2 linked regions of the Drosophila melanogaster genome follow. The protein of the gene in region 2 interacts with the protein of the main gene of each other region in a pairwise test. Each region holds a gene or a part of one and is shown on either strand. Other genes may lie near its edges.

Evidence for each region.
Region 1: the proteins of CG11883 (region 2) and CG12470 interact in a two-hybrid assay, tested with the Drosophila melanogaster proteins (2 studies listed by BioGRID).

Annotation. Positions count from the first base shown.
Region 1 is NC_004354.4:303,970-310,671, reverse strand, and holds CG12470 (uncharacterized protein), read right to left. Parts: upstream 2,989-6,702; 5' UTR 2,780-2,988; intron 2,583-2,779; 5' UTR 2,465-2,582; coding exon 1,877-2,464; 3' UTR 1,737-1,876; downstream 1-1,736.
Region 2 is NT_033778.4:10,613,680-10,621,578, reverse strand, and holds the start of CG11883 (uncharacterized protein), read right to left. Parts: upstream 3,918-7,899; 5' UTR 3,743-3,917; intron 1,689-3,742; 5' UTR 1,580-1,688; intron 1-1,579. Other genes in the region: psq (pipsqueak), read right to left, coding at 6,738-7,046, 7,453-7,636, 7,709-7,811.

The DNA.
Region 1 (6,702 bases), on a different chromosome or scaffold from region 2:
TGCAGCGTATAAAGCTGGTAAAAGGTAACCGCAATAACCAAAAATTCAATCAACGAAAACCCAAGACCGAAACAATAGAAGCGAATTTGCTGTTTTTTAGCAAAGCGCAAAAAGTTTTGGAGATGATCTAAGTCCAGGCCACTTATAAAGAAAAAAGATAATGGTATTGGTATAAAGGAATGTATTCATAAAACCTAAAATGAAATAAAAAAAACTAATCATTTAAAAGACGAAACCATTTTTTGTGTTAGTAAATATTATTATTCGAGAAGTAAAAAGTTTCGAGCGGGGTCATCGGTGCAAGTACATTTGGGGAATTTACTTGAGCTTCAAAAGGGGAGATGACAAAGTTTTTGAGTCTGCAAATAGTTGAGGGTGAGGTGTGCATTTATATAAATGGTAGGCTGACATTTGCCGACAACGTGAAAGGGCAAGTATATATATTTTTCGGAAAATAGATACCTTCGTCTTTGTCTGTCGATCTGCGACCCATGTTTCCCTCGATTTACACTGGACAAAAAAAAGTACTAGCACAAATCTTTATGGATGTTCGTCGAGAATATACATTTTTTTTTTTGGGGTTAATAAATGGTTTAGTGTGCACTATAAACTTTTGGAGTTAAAATATTATATATTTAACTCTATTTGCGTGCCTCAATCTCGATCCTCCGATCGATTGGGTCTTAAAATGCCGCGCAGCCATACAAATACGCTACTCGTTGTAAAATGTTAAATGGGACATGGCTAGTCAAGGAGTTTGGATAGTTAAAAGGTACTCACGGGAGTTAAGGAGGGGTACACGAGTTATGGTTAGGGAAACCGGACACTTGACACACCGGCGAAACAGTGGCCTAACCAGCCGAGCCTTCTCTCGTAGCCCGGACAAATGTCAAGTAAATATATATTGCTCACAAATCGCATCCACTAAAAAATAACAATATATAAATTATAAGAAGTAACGGTCTGTCTAATAACCTATTATATTATATATATATATAATTAATTAAGATGTTAATAAAAATGTAAGAACTTTAAACATTATTTCAGAATTAATTAAGATGTTAAAAACAATTTAATTGTGTTATAATATAAACATTTTCAAATACTGAAAATCTGTTTGAAAAATAAAATTTTTCAGTTTAACATCTCATAATCTATCAACAAGTCGACTACTTTTATAAATATTCAAATATCGTGTGGCCGGCGCTTGTTTGGCACTTTATTGCAAATGCTTTGCGGTTTTCGCAATCCATGGGCCTCCAAAAATTGACCCCTTACTTGGAAGGTTCACCTTGTTTCTATTGGGTTTCTTCTTTTTTCATTTTGTAGCAAGCAATAATAATTTGAGGGATTTGTTGTGCACGTTAAGCTGGAATCCTCCGCTTCATTCTTTTGAGCCGAATATTAGCAAAATGATGCACATGCATAATTTCCATACCACTCAAATGAATGGAATTAATCGAACGCTAATCGACTTGGAATCTGTACTCTAATTGACAAAATTCTCACACCCTGTAAGTCTCTAATTTTTGATATTATATTTACGATTTGTATTTTATCCACAGTAATATTGCAATAATTTATGTCGACTATTGTTATTTAACTTCTTTTGATCGTACGCTAACCTCAACTTTCCCAGCAAAACTCTACAAAAGGATTAACTTCGACATGCAAAATAAACGCTTTGGTATATCGCTATCACCGCTATTGGTATTAGAGCTATGCAAATTTGTTTTAGTTGCTTTCAAAGAGATTATTATTTATTGATAAAGATTGTGCCAAAATATGTTAAATGTTTAGAGCAAAGCTTGTCGTCCAGTATTATCCTCGTTGTGTATGCGTTGCCCTCTTTTGTTAGAAATCATATGGGACCTATTTAAGCGAATCGCATGCATTTTGCCTTTTGGGTGTACGTTACAGCGCCATACTCCTCCACAATCTGATCAATGGCAATCTTGTTTAGATTCTCCAGATATAGACGCGTCTTTCGAGACTGGATAATATAACTAATAACGTCGTGCATATTATCGAAGAAAAGAAATCCAGCAGTTCCGCAGCTGAGGTCTAGATAGCGGAACCTATTAACATCGCAGGTGCATCCATCAAACAGGAAGTAAATAAAGTCATTATTGTTGTGATACCGGAAAACCACGTAGTTGCCCCAAGGGGCCATCACGAAAACCCGCTCGGCACACCGGAATCCGGCTCTCAGGAGCTTGCAAATGCTATCGTAGCATCCATTCTCAGAGCCCACCACCGCCATTGTTTCCGGAATACGAAGAAGAGCCGGGTAATGATTCGGTTGAGCCCGAAGGACATCGTGGGGTCCGCTAGACTCTGGACAAGCGTCAAGTGGTTGCATCTGCTTTGGTGGTTCCGGACACGGAGGACATGGTGGCGCTTCGATGGGAGCCACAACTGCGGCGGGCTTCTTGCCCTTCTTTCCTTTGCCCTTTTTACCCATGGTTAATCGAGTCTACGATCTCTGAAAGTCGCGCAACGCACAAATTAGAAATGCCTCTGCGTTTGCTTCCGATCACTTGAAAATAGTTAACGAATCAAAGTAGCATATATCCTGACGTCTGAAATACGCATTTAAAAAAAAAAAATATTAATTCTTAAGTTAACCCCAACCAAATACTCAGTAAACACTGTCCCACACATATAGAATTACGACTTCCAATTGTGTGCGTATGTCATGTGAAACCAAATGCAATTCGGAAATGGGGAAAAAATTTCAGTAATATTCGGAATATGCCGAGCTTCCAATAAGACTCACCAACTAGCTAAACACGATTTGATTTTGGTACACACACCGTTCTCTTGTATTCCTAATTTTAAGTTTGGCCAAAAAAAAAATTTTGTAAATCTGGTCGAGAGCGAAGTTAAATTTTGTACAGTTTTTTTTCCGAGATTTTTTCGTGTGCTTTGTGTGTTCACAGACAATTTTACTTCTGATGTTTTGCCATATGGCTGGTGATAGCCAAGTCCAAATACTGACAGTTTCAGCAAAGCAACGTGATCTAAAAAAAAGTAAGAAAGCCATTCTATTTAATAAACCAACCCAGAGTAGGCTACGTTTGGTGCTCGTAAACAGCTTAATGCATATATAATTGCCAGTTCTTATTTTATTCAATTATCGTTGTATCACAACTTAAGGGACAACTAAATCTACTACTTTCCTTTATCTGCTGGAAGAAGAAAAATATGGAAATATTAAAAAAAATATCTGATACGATAAAAGTACCATTGAAATACGAAAAACGCGTATTTATTAATTAAACATTATCTAAGCTTCAAATGATGGCCTTTTATGAATGGACCAGTGGAATAAATCTCAGGTTTTTGGCTAAATGATGATGACACCACCATTATAATCGCAACCATACTAACCTAATGGGTTACATTTTATGGCTCACAGCGGTATCAAACGAATACGAATCCAAAAGAAAACACTCCTTCGATTATTGCTTCATCAAAAAGAAATTCTCAGCTAATGGGGTAACCCAACCTGTCATGCCGGCAAACGTGAGTCGGCAGGTTTAGGATACCCATATGGAGGAAGATATCGCTCTCTCCCACTCTCTATATACAAATGTGTGCAATCTTCAATGGTATTATTTAATCAGTTGCTTTAATGTGGGATGATTAGATAAGTACTAGAAATAAGATTCATTTACCGCATAAGTACTTTAACCTACATACAGTTTAACCTTTATACAGTTCAAATTATACTTCTTATACCCGTTACTTGCAGACTAAAAGAGTATACTAGATTCGTTGAAAATGTATGTAACAAGTAGAAAGAAGCGTTTCCGACCATATAAAGTTTATATATTCTTGATCAGTATCAATAGCCCAGTCGATCTGGCACTGTCCGTCTGTCCGGCCGTATAACGTCGACATCTCAGGAATTATAAAAGCTGGAAGGTTTATATTAAGCATACATATTCTAGAGACAGAACCAGCGCAAGTTTGTTGAAATATTACCACGCCCACTCTAAGGCCCCCAAACCCCCCAAAACTGCCACGCCGACACATTTGAAAATTTAATTTTGTAAATCTATCGATATGTTATCTACATATATCCAACTCCAACGCACTTCCTCTAGCGGAGTAGTAACACGTATCTGTAAGCCGACAAGATCGACTGAATCGTTTTCTCCTTGTAAATTCACATGGATATGTTGCCTTATACAGATGTCCAAGTCCTTCTTAAAAAAAAAAACGGCATGTTAAAAACGTAAAAAAGTACATGCTCATAAAATTGAGCTTTTTATCATAAAATAAAGATTTTTAGCTTTAAGCCGCGAAAGCTTAGTTTGGAGTACTTAAGCTTTAAGGTGCTGAATAAGTTTGCAGAGGAGAAATTGCGCATAATTTATCTCAGAGAGCGGAGTTATTTAGCACCTCTCCGGTAGCCTTCCCTTTCTTTTTTTATGACTGAAATTAATCTTCATTCACTGCAGGAATATAACAAATGGTTTGCTGATTGTTTACACATGGGCTATCCTGCAGTTGTATCGGTCAAAATAAAATACAGCAATAAAATAGAGCAATCGAAATTTTGATAACTGTGGTACCAAAGTGCAACAACCTAAAAGTCGACGCCAACGAGTCTAGGGCAAACAAAAAATAAGAACAAGGTCCAAGGCATTGGGTCAAAAGCCAAGTAAAAAAAACAAATAGAAGGAAGGGAGAACGTTATATACAAGAAACTCGACTATCCAATACCCATTATGATAACATAAATCAATAAATAAAATTCAGAATTATGTTTTATAAGTATGGGCAAATTAGGGCGGTGCAAAATTTGTTTGGCTAGAAATTGAATTGGATAGAAATTGACAATACAAAAAACTAAATTAAATTAAAAAACTGCTTTCATACGGACAAAGGGACATGCTCAGATCTGGGCTAGTGATCCTGAGGAAGGTATGTATATGTATGTATGTATATATAAACGTCATAGGGTCTAAAATGCTACAACGAATCTAGAATACAATTTTACTCTACGTGTAAATAAAAAGCGGGAATATCAACGGGAAAAATCTCTGACAAAACATACTGTAACCACTTTTACCTGGGAAGCCTACACTCCCCCAATTCTGTGAATCTCCCTCCTACCCGCTGGCCAGATGACCAATGGCGAATAGATTGGGCTAGACCACGGGACGACGACGGCAAAGTGCCTAAAGGGACTTAATCTGCTCGTTCATATAATCGCTGTCGCCAGCATTCCACGCTCCTAAATAATTATTTGCATATTTATAACATGTGTGCCAGGCCTTTTCTTATACACCCGCTAAAGACATGATCCGAAAAAAACTGCTCTCACTGGAAAGAAGAAAACATTAAAACTAATAATAAATGTTTCCCAAGTGATTATCTTCCTATAATTTCTTTCACGTGAAAACTTATAAAATCAGACAAAATAATAAACAAAAAAGCGTTTCTGACCCATTACATCTATATTCTAGCTCAGTATTGATCTAGTCATGTTCGAATGTCCCTCCGTCCGTATGAAAAGAACTCGAAAACTATAAACCGAGAAAATGGACTATAGCGCTCATGTTCTTTTTAGAGTAAATTGTCTGAGACTGTTGACAGGAGAATTGACTTGAGATGTTACTGTCTATGCTCTTGTTTTTGACGCTTTTAGTAAATTCAGCTGGGCACCTGTTGAGTGGGCGTGGCTTCCTGTTAAAGTTGTGATGACAGTGACGACATGTCACCGGCTCTTTGACTGCTTCAGCCTCTGTCAAGTTGTACTTGTCACGCCCATGAGTCCGCGATCTACATATTTTATTTCGTATTGCACAGCATGCAGAGCTTTTGAATTTTTATATGGTATGGACCGATGGTTTTGTACCTATGTACTCTTTGTTGACTATTGCTTTTCAATTCCCAGCATTACCTTTACAAACTTTTTTTACAACGCCCCATGGCTATGAAATTTTATGTGTTCATTTTTTATATCATAAAAGCAAAAGTTAACTGTAGTAATTTAAACTTTTAAACTAAAAATTGAAGCATAGGGGGAACTCTATTTTTAAGAACCTCGACTATCCCAATTAAAAAGAAATAGATTTGCTTTAACTTTTCCATGAACTATTTTACTGGGCTGGGTAAGTGCTACAAAACAGAAAAAACACAGTTACCCAATATCAAAAGATATAACAATATGCGTTGTGTATATATCTTAGTAAAGAAGTTTTTATTAAGAGGGATATATGAACAGCGTTCAATATATTATATAGATTTTTAGAGGTTAACTTAAGAATAGGGTTAGGTGTTACAATGAACTTTATTGCTTGCGATGCACGATAATTGCAACATATTTCCAGGGGAATCGAGGATTATTGCTGCCAGCTTGTTATTAATCATTAGCTTTTGTTGCCAGCAAAACATTAAAAAACAAAATCTGATTGAAAACCAACAAGGCGCAAGGCTGATATTTTTTTTTTCAAATGCGCCCAAGGGATTACACAGGCCCAGAGCAGAAAATAAAAGAAAAATCGAGGGGGTGAAAATAGTGAAATACAATGAGGACACTGTGTCTAAGTATTCAACAACCATGGTGAGCTTTAGTCTGCTCTGGATTGTGCCTAATCCTGTTCCTTGTAATGTTTCTGATTCATATACGTCCAAACACTTTATTTAAAGAGACCCCCAATGCTTTATTCGGCTAGTAATCCTGAT
Region 2 (7,899 bases):
AGCTTCAACTCACTTTAAGAGCAGTTGTTGGTAGCCACAGGCCAAACAGTTGACTATTTAATTAAACATGCACACAGTTTGTTTTGCCTGCAGCACTAATTAATGCCCATCAAATTGAGTTGCGTATATTAGTGTCAATGTTATTGTAACTTTAATCGAATCCAACGAACCAGACATAATTAATTTCATATTTCAGCTAAGTGCTGTTTAACCCGCAACCACTTTTCAAACTGCAAACTAATATGCCCATTAAGCGTTCATGCAGAAACATCCAATGAAACACAAAGTGGCAACCGCAAAATCTCATTTCACAATTCGCGCACACCAAACAAATGCCATAAATATTTGGAATTCGCTTCGATAGCAAAGTTGCAGACACTCTCGCAAAAATATTGTTTATTTTCATTCAGTTTATTGCTCAAAATGAAATATTCAGTTTAGGGAACTTCGTGAGATTTGGATTTAACCTTGAAAACTTTAACAGTGGAATTACTTTATGCAAGAAAATCAATTACTATTTGATCTAAAATACTATTATATATTCATTTATTTGACTCCTGATTACTTCCCATTGAAAGGGTATGCATTTCAAAAATGACATTTGGACATGACAGCTCTGATTTACGTATGTGCAACAGATGAACTGGGTTTCCAAAAATGAGAATCACATTTTCAAGGACTGCTCTTTTGAAGCAACCTGCTGGAAACACTACTGAATAATGTTTAAGCACTTTCACTTACTTAACATTCGCATTCGTTCTGTTTTCGCTTTGCAAGGATTTGGCTCGGGATGAGCAAACAAGTGGAAGTCGAAGGAAAAAACAATTGCATGCAATCAATTGGTGAAATCAGGCATGCAATTTGCATGAGTGTGTGTCTGATGCCCTTGACTCCTGAGCAAGCTACGTTCCATCAGGTGAGAGACAACCCAAGGCAAGGGTTAAGGGTCAATTGGGCGAAGGCAAAGGCGATGGCGCAGGGCCACAGGGAAGGTTAAGACTGGGCTGATTTTCTACATCCGAAGGAGGAGCCCTGTTATCCTGACACACTCACATGCAAAAAGTTACTTTCGCAACAGTTGTTCGAAAAGGTTGGGGTTTGTACTTGGTTTATCGCCAGCTTGTTGGCAACAAAAGTTGATTAGCATATTACGTATACGTCCGATTGCCCTGTAACATTTTCATTTTGGGCCGAGGGGAACGGAAATGAAATGTGTAATGAGAAAAACGGAAACTCAAACAGCAACTCAGGAATAAATTATTAAGGGCATTTCCACATTGCTTCAGAAGTGAGCACATATGTACAATATGTATGGTTTTCAAACATGAGGTTAAAGTTAGTGCAACAAAGCCTTAGAACTATTTAAACAACGTTATGTCCATAGGTTCTTAAACCAACCAGTTCAACTATTTTAATACCACTCCAACCTTGGCATTTAATTTAGATCAATAAATGCGGCGGGCGTAAGTTTTAATAACTCTCAGCTGAGATACTCGGCTTCAACAATTTCCACCCCTTTTAATTGCATAATTGATAATTTCACCTAACGACCGTCAGTTACAGCCAGTTATTTACTCACTTGCGTGTAAGTTTCCGTGGGTCCTCCTCCCGTTTCGATTTTCCTTATTTTAGTAGGGGTTGCCCAGCAACTGATTTTCGGGTCGTTCGTTGTGTGGGATGCCAGCAAACTGCAAGGTAAAGAAACTTGCTGAATAATTCAGGATAAAGGATACACAGGCCAACTTGTCTTACGCGAACTTTAAGTCAATACTAACTTAGATAAATTGTGGTATACTTTACAGGGAACCCCATACAGGTGAATGGCAAAGCATGTATTCGAATGCATTTTATATACGTTATTAAAAACCATTTCTCTTGGATTGCATATGCATTGGTTCGCCTTTTATAAGACAAATAGGTTTTACAAGCTAAAGACGGATTTATATCATCTGAGATCAACATTTAACTCCTTTTTTCTAACTAATAAAAGCTCATTTTAGTTTTGTTTAGCCGTATTTAGTCCATCTGGACCTCTCCCCAACATGCGTGTGTCAGCTTTACGCTAAAGCATTGTAACTAGTAACATTGAAGGTCTATTTTTACTACCCACCCTCTGGTTGGGTTCCTCTCGAAAACAGCAAACAAGACTCCCATCTGCCACAAAGTATATTATGACAGCCACACAGGCACCGCCACTTGACTTGACTGGCTTTTAATTTTATTACACACATACTCTTTTTTTTTACTCATCTCACTTCAAGCCGCCAATCGAAGTTTCAAAGCCAAAGATTCGATCGCACCTGTTGTGGGTTGTGTTTTTATTTGGCGTAAGGTCTTTAATTATTTGTCATGCCTGTTAAAAAATTTTATAGTGATTGCTTCAACTTTCTAATTGCTAGGGGCAATCAATCAAAACACCATCAAACATGTAACTTTTAAGGCTTTTTCGTTTAATTGAAGAGCCGTCCATCACAAATACTGACAACTGAGTTGCTATTTAATAAAATGTTAATTTAAATGATGCGTTCAATTTATAAATTTTCAAAAATTTTCACATATTCTTACGTTAGCATGAACAAGATGTTAAAACAAAATCAGTCATGATCATCAATGTGTTTTGAGCATACAATTTGCCACTGGTTGAAAACACGAGAAAGTTTTGAGATATGTCATTTCAGGTGTTTATTTTTAAAACGAAATAAATTTCGTGGACTTCAAGGTCAAGTATTCTAGAGCAGACCCCGAAATGTGGTCACACTTCTTGCGAATAGCCAAGACCCACATTCCTACTGTCAAGTTCAAATGGCCAAAAACATGGCAAACATCAGCAAACACTTTTTCGCCAGCAGCGGCACTTGTTGTAAAAACAAAAGTGGGCTGTTTGAGGTGGTTTTCTGCTGGGTGGGCAATGGGAGGTGGGGTGTTGTCTAAGGGTATTTGAGGCCAACATTCTGACAATCAGCTGTCTTGCATACAGAGAGTGAGAGAGAGAGAGGGAGAGAGCATTTCTCTCTTGAGAGGAAGCTTTTCTTGGGGGCTGCTTCCGAGAACGCTCACTCGCAATATTTATAACCCCTCAGTGGGTTCTCTTAATAAGCACGTTGTTTGGTAGCTGTTATTATTGTTGCGTATTTTTTTGCTGTTGTCTTTTAAGTTAATATTTTAGAACGTGTTGAGCGACGGGCTTTCGCACACCACGTCATACTCCCGTGTACCATGCATATATGTGTATACACACATCTATAGCTGTGTGTTGGTATGTATCATGCGTAATGTAATTTCATGGGGGTTACGAGTTTTGTACACTTGAACTTGCAGCTGTCCTCTGGCATACAAAAATAAACTGTTTATGCAGTTAACTTTTGGGCCGTGCTTTCGTTGCCCCGATTTAGCCCCACTTTTTCCGCCTATCATTACTAATTCAACGCACAGTCCTGTTTTTTTCGAAAATTATTCGCAATCATGCGAATTCTTGAATTGACACTTCCGCCATACTCAAATGTACAAGCAAATTTCGCGAGTGGGAAAGTAAATTTGCAAATTTCACACTCAATTAGAAGACACATCATATCACTTTCACTTAACAAAGTCATCACTTTCAATTGAGCTGATTTAAATCGAATATAAACAGATTAATACTGATTAATCAATTAGCTCAGGCTCATTTGCCACTGATAAGCTGGAATTCCCATTCGACACTATTGCGATTCGTTTTGTTTGTTTGTTTATAGCCAAGACTTACAAATTACTTTTCCAAAACCAAGTTTGTTTCTGAAGCCAGCGAAAAGGGCTGAGTCTGCGAAGTTTTTTCTTTTCTTGGTAAAAAATCTTCTGCGTAGCGAAAGGAATCGGTGCAGACGATCGGAACGCGGAATACAAAATACCACCGTTCACATGGGAAGCAGAACTTTGACTGGCATCTTCCGCTTCTAGGTGAGCACGGTCAAAAGTAAGTTCAACATGTGGGAGAGCATGCGCCAGCTGAGCGGAGAGCCGCCTAACAGAAAAGCTCGCCTAACATTGTTGGCCAAGACAGTGGCTGCCTAAGCCAAGATCAGGTTAACAGAGGCAAAGCTTTACAGGCGGTTAAATTTGAACCGGTAGCGCCAAAAAAGCATAATTCACGTTTCCATTACTGCTAGCTTTACAACAATAAATAATAACAAACATGTGTGATAACCATCTTAAATAAACTTTGTTATCCATAATAAAAATGTGAATCCAGAATTAAGTGAACTTGTTAAATTTAGTACAATTAATCCCACTTACAATTCAAATAAAATGAGAAATATGCCATTTTATGTAATTATTCAATAATTTTTATTTATAGTACCTCACTTTAAAAATTACGTTATACCAATATTACATTAAATGTTGTTTGTTTATTACATGGGTTGTTTTCGCTATTTCGGCTGTTACATAGATTGTTTCAGTGTTTCCTTTTTGGGTTTACATTTACCGTTTATAATAGATATTTGCTGTATATGCATATTTGATAATCCGAAATGTGCTATAATATTGTGTGGTTAAAGTTTACTCTTACACATTTAGTTAGCTTAAAATTTTAAATGTAATATTTTTATTATTTTTACGTTTCTGTGATTCGCCTTCATTTTCGATTCTTCAAGTTGCTGGGTTCATTTTTTAATTGCTCTTGCGACAATTTTAACAAAGTTATAATGATATTTTCATTTATTGTTGTTCTAACTCTTGTAGTTGCTACTCCGTATGCTTTAATTATTTTACAATGATATACAGTTTTGCTATAAAACATTAAAATGAATCCAACTAAAGATAATAGGAATTGAATTAAATTATGTTGAGTTTTAAGGTAAGCATATTGCATTCAGTTCTACGGGTCTATAACGCTAAAATAAATTAATTTGCAACATTTGATTTTTATAATATTCAGATACCTGTTCCCCTAGGTCAGCTAACAACTAAAAAAATCTATTCAAATGTATATACAAAGATATCCAAGTGCTCGCCGCACACGCATAGTTGAGATGAAACCAAAAAGTTTTGAAGTTTCTTCAGATGGGTGTTTACTAGGTGTATCCATTCCTCCGATTCCTAAATATGTAGATACGCTAGTGGAAGCTATTATACATTTTTTATCGTTTTTAAATTTCTAATTCAAAATTTTGAATATATTTCCCATTGTGGTAAATTTGTTGTCGGATTTTTATATAGACCAATCAAGTCTACCCCGGATTCGAAGGGTAGTATCCAAAACTCGCTCGAATAATGCTTTTTAAAGAAATGTATACTATAACTACTTTCATTCTCTGCTACACTAAGACATTTTACAGTTCAATTAGAGGTGTTTTGTATCCATATATATACGTGTGTATTTATTGGTTTCTTTTTCTTACAAGCTTGTTTTAAATCTTTGTTTGAATGTGACTTCAAAGGACATTATTTAAGAGCTTAGTATTAACAACATTTGCAGTTTGATTCGCTAATTTCAGCTGCTTCTGTTTCCGGTTCTTTCAAAAATACATTCCATTTGTTGATTCCTTGCAATTACTTCATTTCTACATTTATTTATTGGCTATATTCTTAATTCAGTTGAAATCAAATCAATATACAATCCAAAATTCAGGACGCCTCCAGTAAAATTCAAATAACTCGTTTTGCTTTCTTTTATCGTTACAAGCTAATGATTTAAGTTCTAGAACCTTGATAATTTGGTTTAATTCTACGTTAAGGTATTCTCCCACTTCGTTCTATCTGTTCAAACAATATGGTTATAAAGCATTTGATTCATGTATGGGTTGTGTTTTATGCGTCTTCACTATAATATTGGGCATGGGGTTTTTCAACAGTTTTAGGCGCACTTTCAGTCTCACACTAAGCGAAAATTATAACAAAGCACATAAGCACATTGAAGGGAAAACAATCTAGTTCGAAATTCCACAATCAACTGCCGATTCAAGGTTCTCAGAATGGTCGCGAGACCAAAATAAATACGCGTGTCTATATCCATTGATAACAAAGTGCTCTTAAAACTGCGAGCCCAAAACGAATCCATTAACTTTCGAGTCTAGAGGCAAATCTAAAATTCATCATTCTCTTACGTTCAAGGTATGTTTTCTTAACTTTCTTCTTTCTCCACCTTACCTTACCTAACTAGAACAAAGGACTTTCGCGAACCTAAAACCTATATAACTATGTTCCGTATAATGTAAATAAAGCATATTTCGTTATATATTTACATTTTATACACATCTCGGTTGTGTAATTAATGTCCATCTAGTTGAAAAGTGGTTTTGTGATTGCTTTATCCTACCCTTGGGAATTTTTTGTCTGTGGGTCATTCATATATGTGTGTACCTTCCTAACTGACTGACTGACTACTGTTTGGACAATAGCAAATGAAACTGCCGCAACTTGCGCTTCCAGTGCTTGCAATTAAATCTAAACTTGATGTCCTCGGGCCTGGCCACTCCCGCAATTGTTTCCAACTCCCTGTGTGGCTGATCATCCTCCTGCTCTCAACGCTTTTGCTTATTGGCTTTCTTGCGCTTGCTGGTGCCGCCACTGACTGCCGACGAGCCACTGGCAGTTACCGGCGGTGGTGGGGCACTGGACGGTCCGCTGACCAGCGCCGAAATGCTGGCAAAGGGCGTGCTACTGGCCGCCGTGCCGTCGCTAGTGCTGGCTGCTACTCCACCAACCCCACCACCTCCTCCACCGCCGGTGCTGCCCATTAATGTCGCAGCATGCAGTGATTCTCAACTACGCTCCGGCGTCCCGTGGTGCTGATAGATCTGCTGAAGCTGCTGCTGCTGTTGGCTGTGCACCACCTGGCTGCTCGATGTAACCACGTCCTGCTGCATATGCTGCGGATGGTGGCCCGGATGGGGCGACTGCTGTTGCTGCTGCTGCTGCTGCTGTTGCATGTGCACCACGTGCTGCTGCATGTGCTGCGGCGTCGGCGGACCCTGCTGCGCCGAGCTGTGGTGCTGCGGCGTGCTGTGATGCTGCGGCGTTGGCGGATGCGGCGACGGACTATACGGGAACTGTTGCTGTAACATATGCAACTTTGCATAAATAAATTGATTATCTCGGTTAGTCAAAGCTGGCATTTGTGTATGATGTTTGTGTGGGGGAGTGTCGTAGATAAGAGTTTGGATGCAAATAAAAAAAAATTGATTGCGTAGTGGTTAATAGGATTAGCATCTTTTAGATGTGAACATAAGCTAAAACATATTCAAAGATTCGCAAAATCAATCTTAAATCAGTTAATTAAAAAAGTTACTAGGACTTTATAGAAAAGCCCCTTTTAAGGTAACTAAAACATCGTGATATCAAATCGTTTTAACAAAAAATTCTCAATATAGGCGTTGTTTTTATCACTTGGCTATTGCAGGTGGAGTTCAGAGTTGGTTGGCTGCATTTGCATTTGCTTTTTAGCTTTTCAGCTGCGTACTGAGACTGGCTACGTACCGAATTCTCCTGACTGTGCTCGATAATCTCAATGCTGCCGGTGGTGTTGCCCGAGGTGTTCAATAGCGCCACGCCACTCGTGTTGGCCACCACGTCGTATTTGCCGCGCTTGAAGCGGCCGTAGAGCGAGCTGTAGGGCAGGTTATAGTGAATGGCCGCCTGGTTGATGGACATTTGGCCAACGCTGTGGGGGATACACGTCGGAAATGGTGATTAGTGACTTAATTGACGCCACCATTTCGGCTCACACACTCACCGCACTGAGTTCAGGGCCTCGTTCATGGCATCCTCGGACCAGGGTGTTGGATTCGAACGCGACAGCTCAATGCCCTCCCGTTTGCAGCGTCCGTAAAGTGTTCCTTTGAGGCGGTTGATGGAGTGGAAGAAGAGTGGGATTAGTCACAGCAAAATCAGATCAAATCGAAAAAAAAACAGAATGGAACGGAA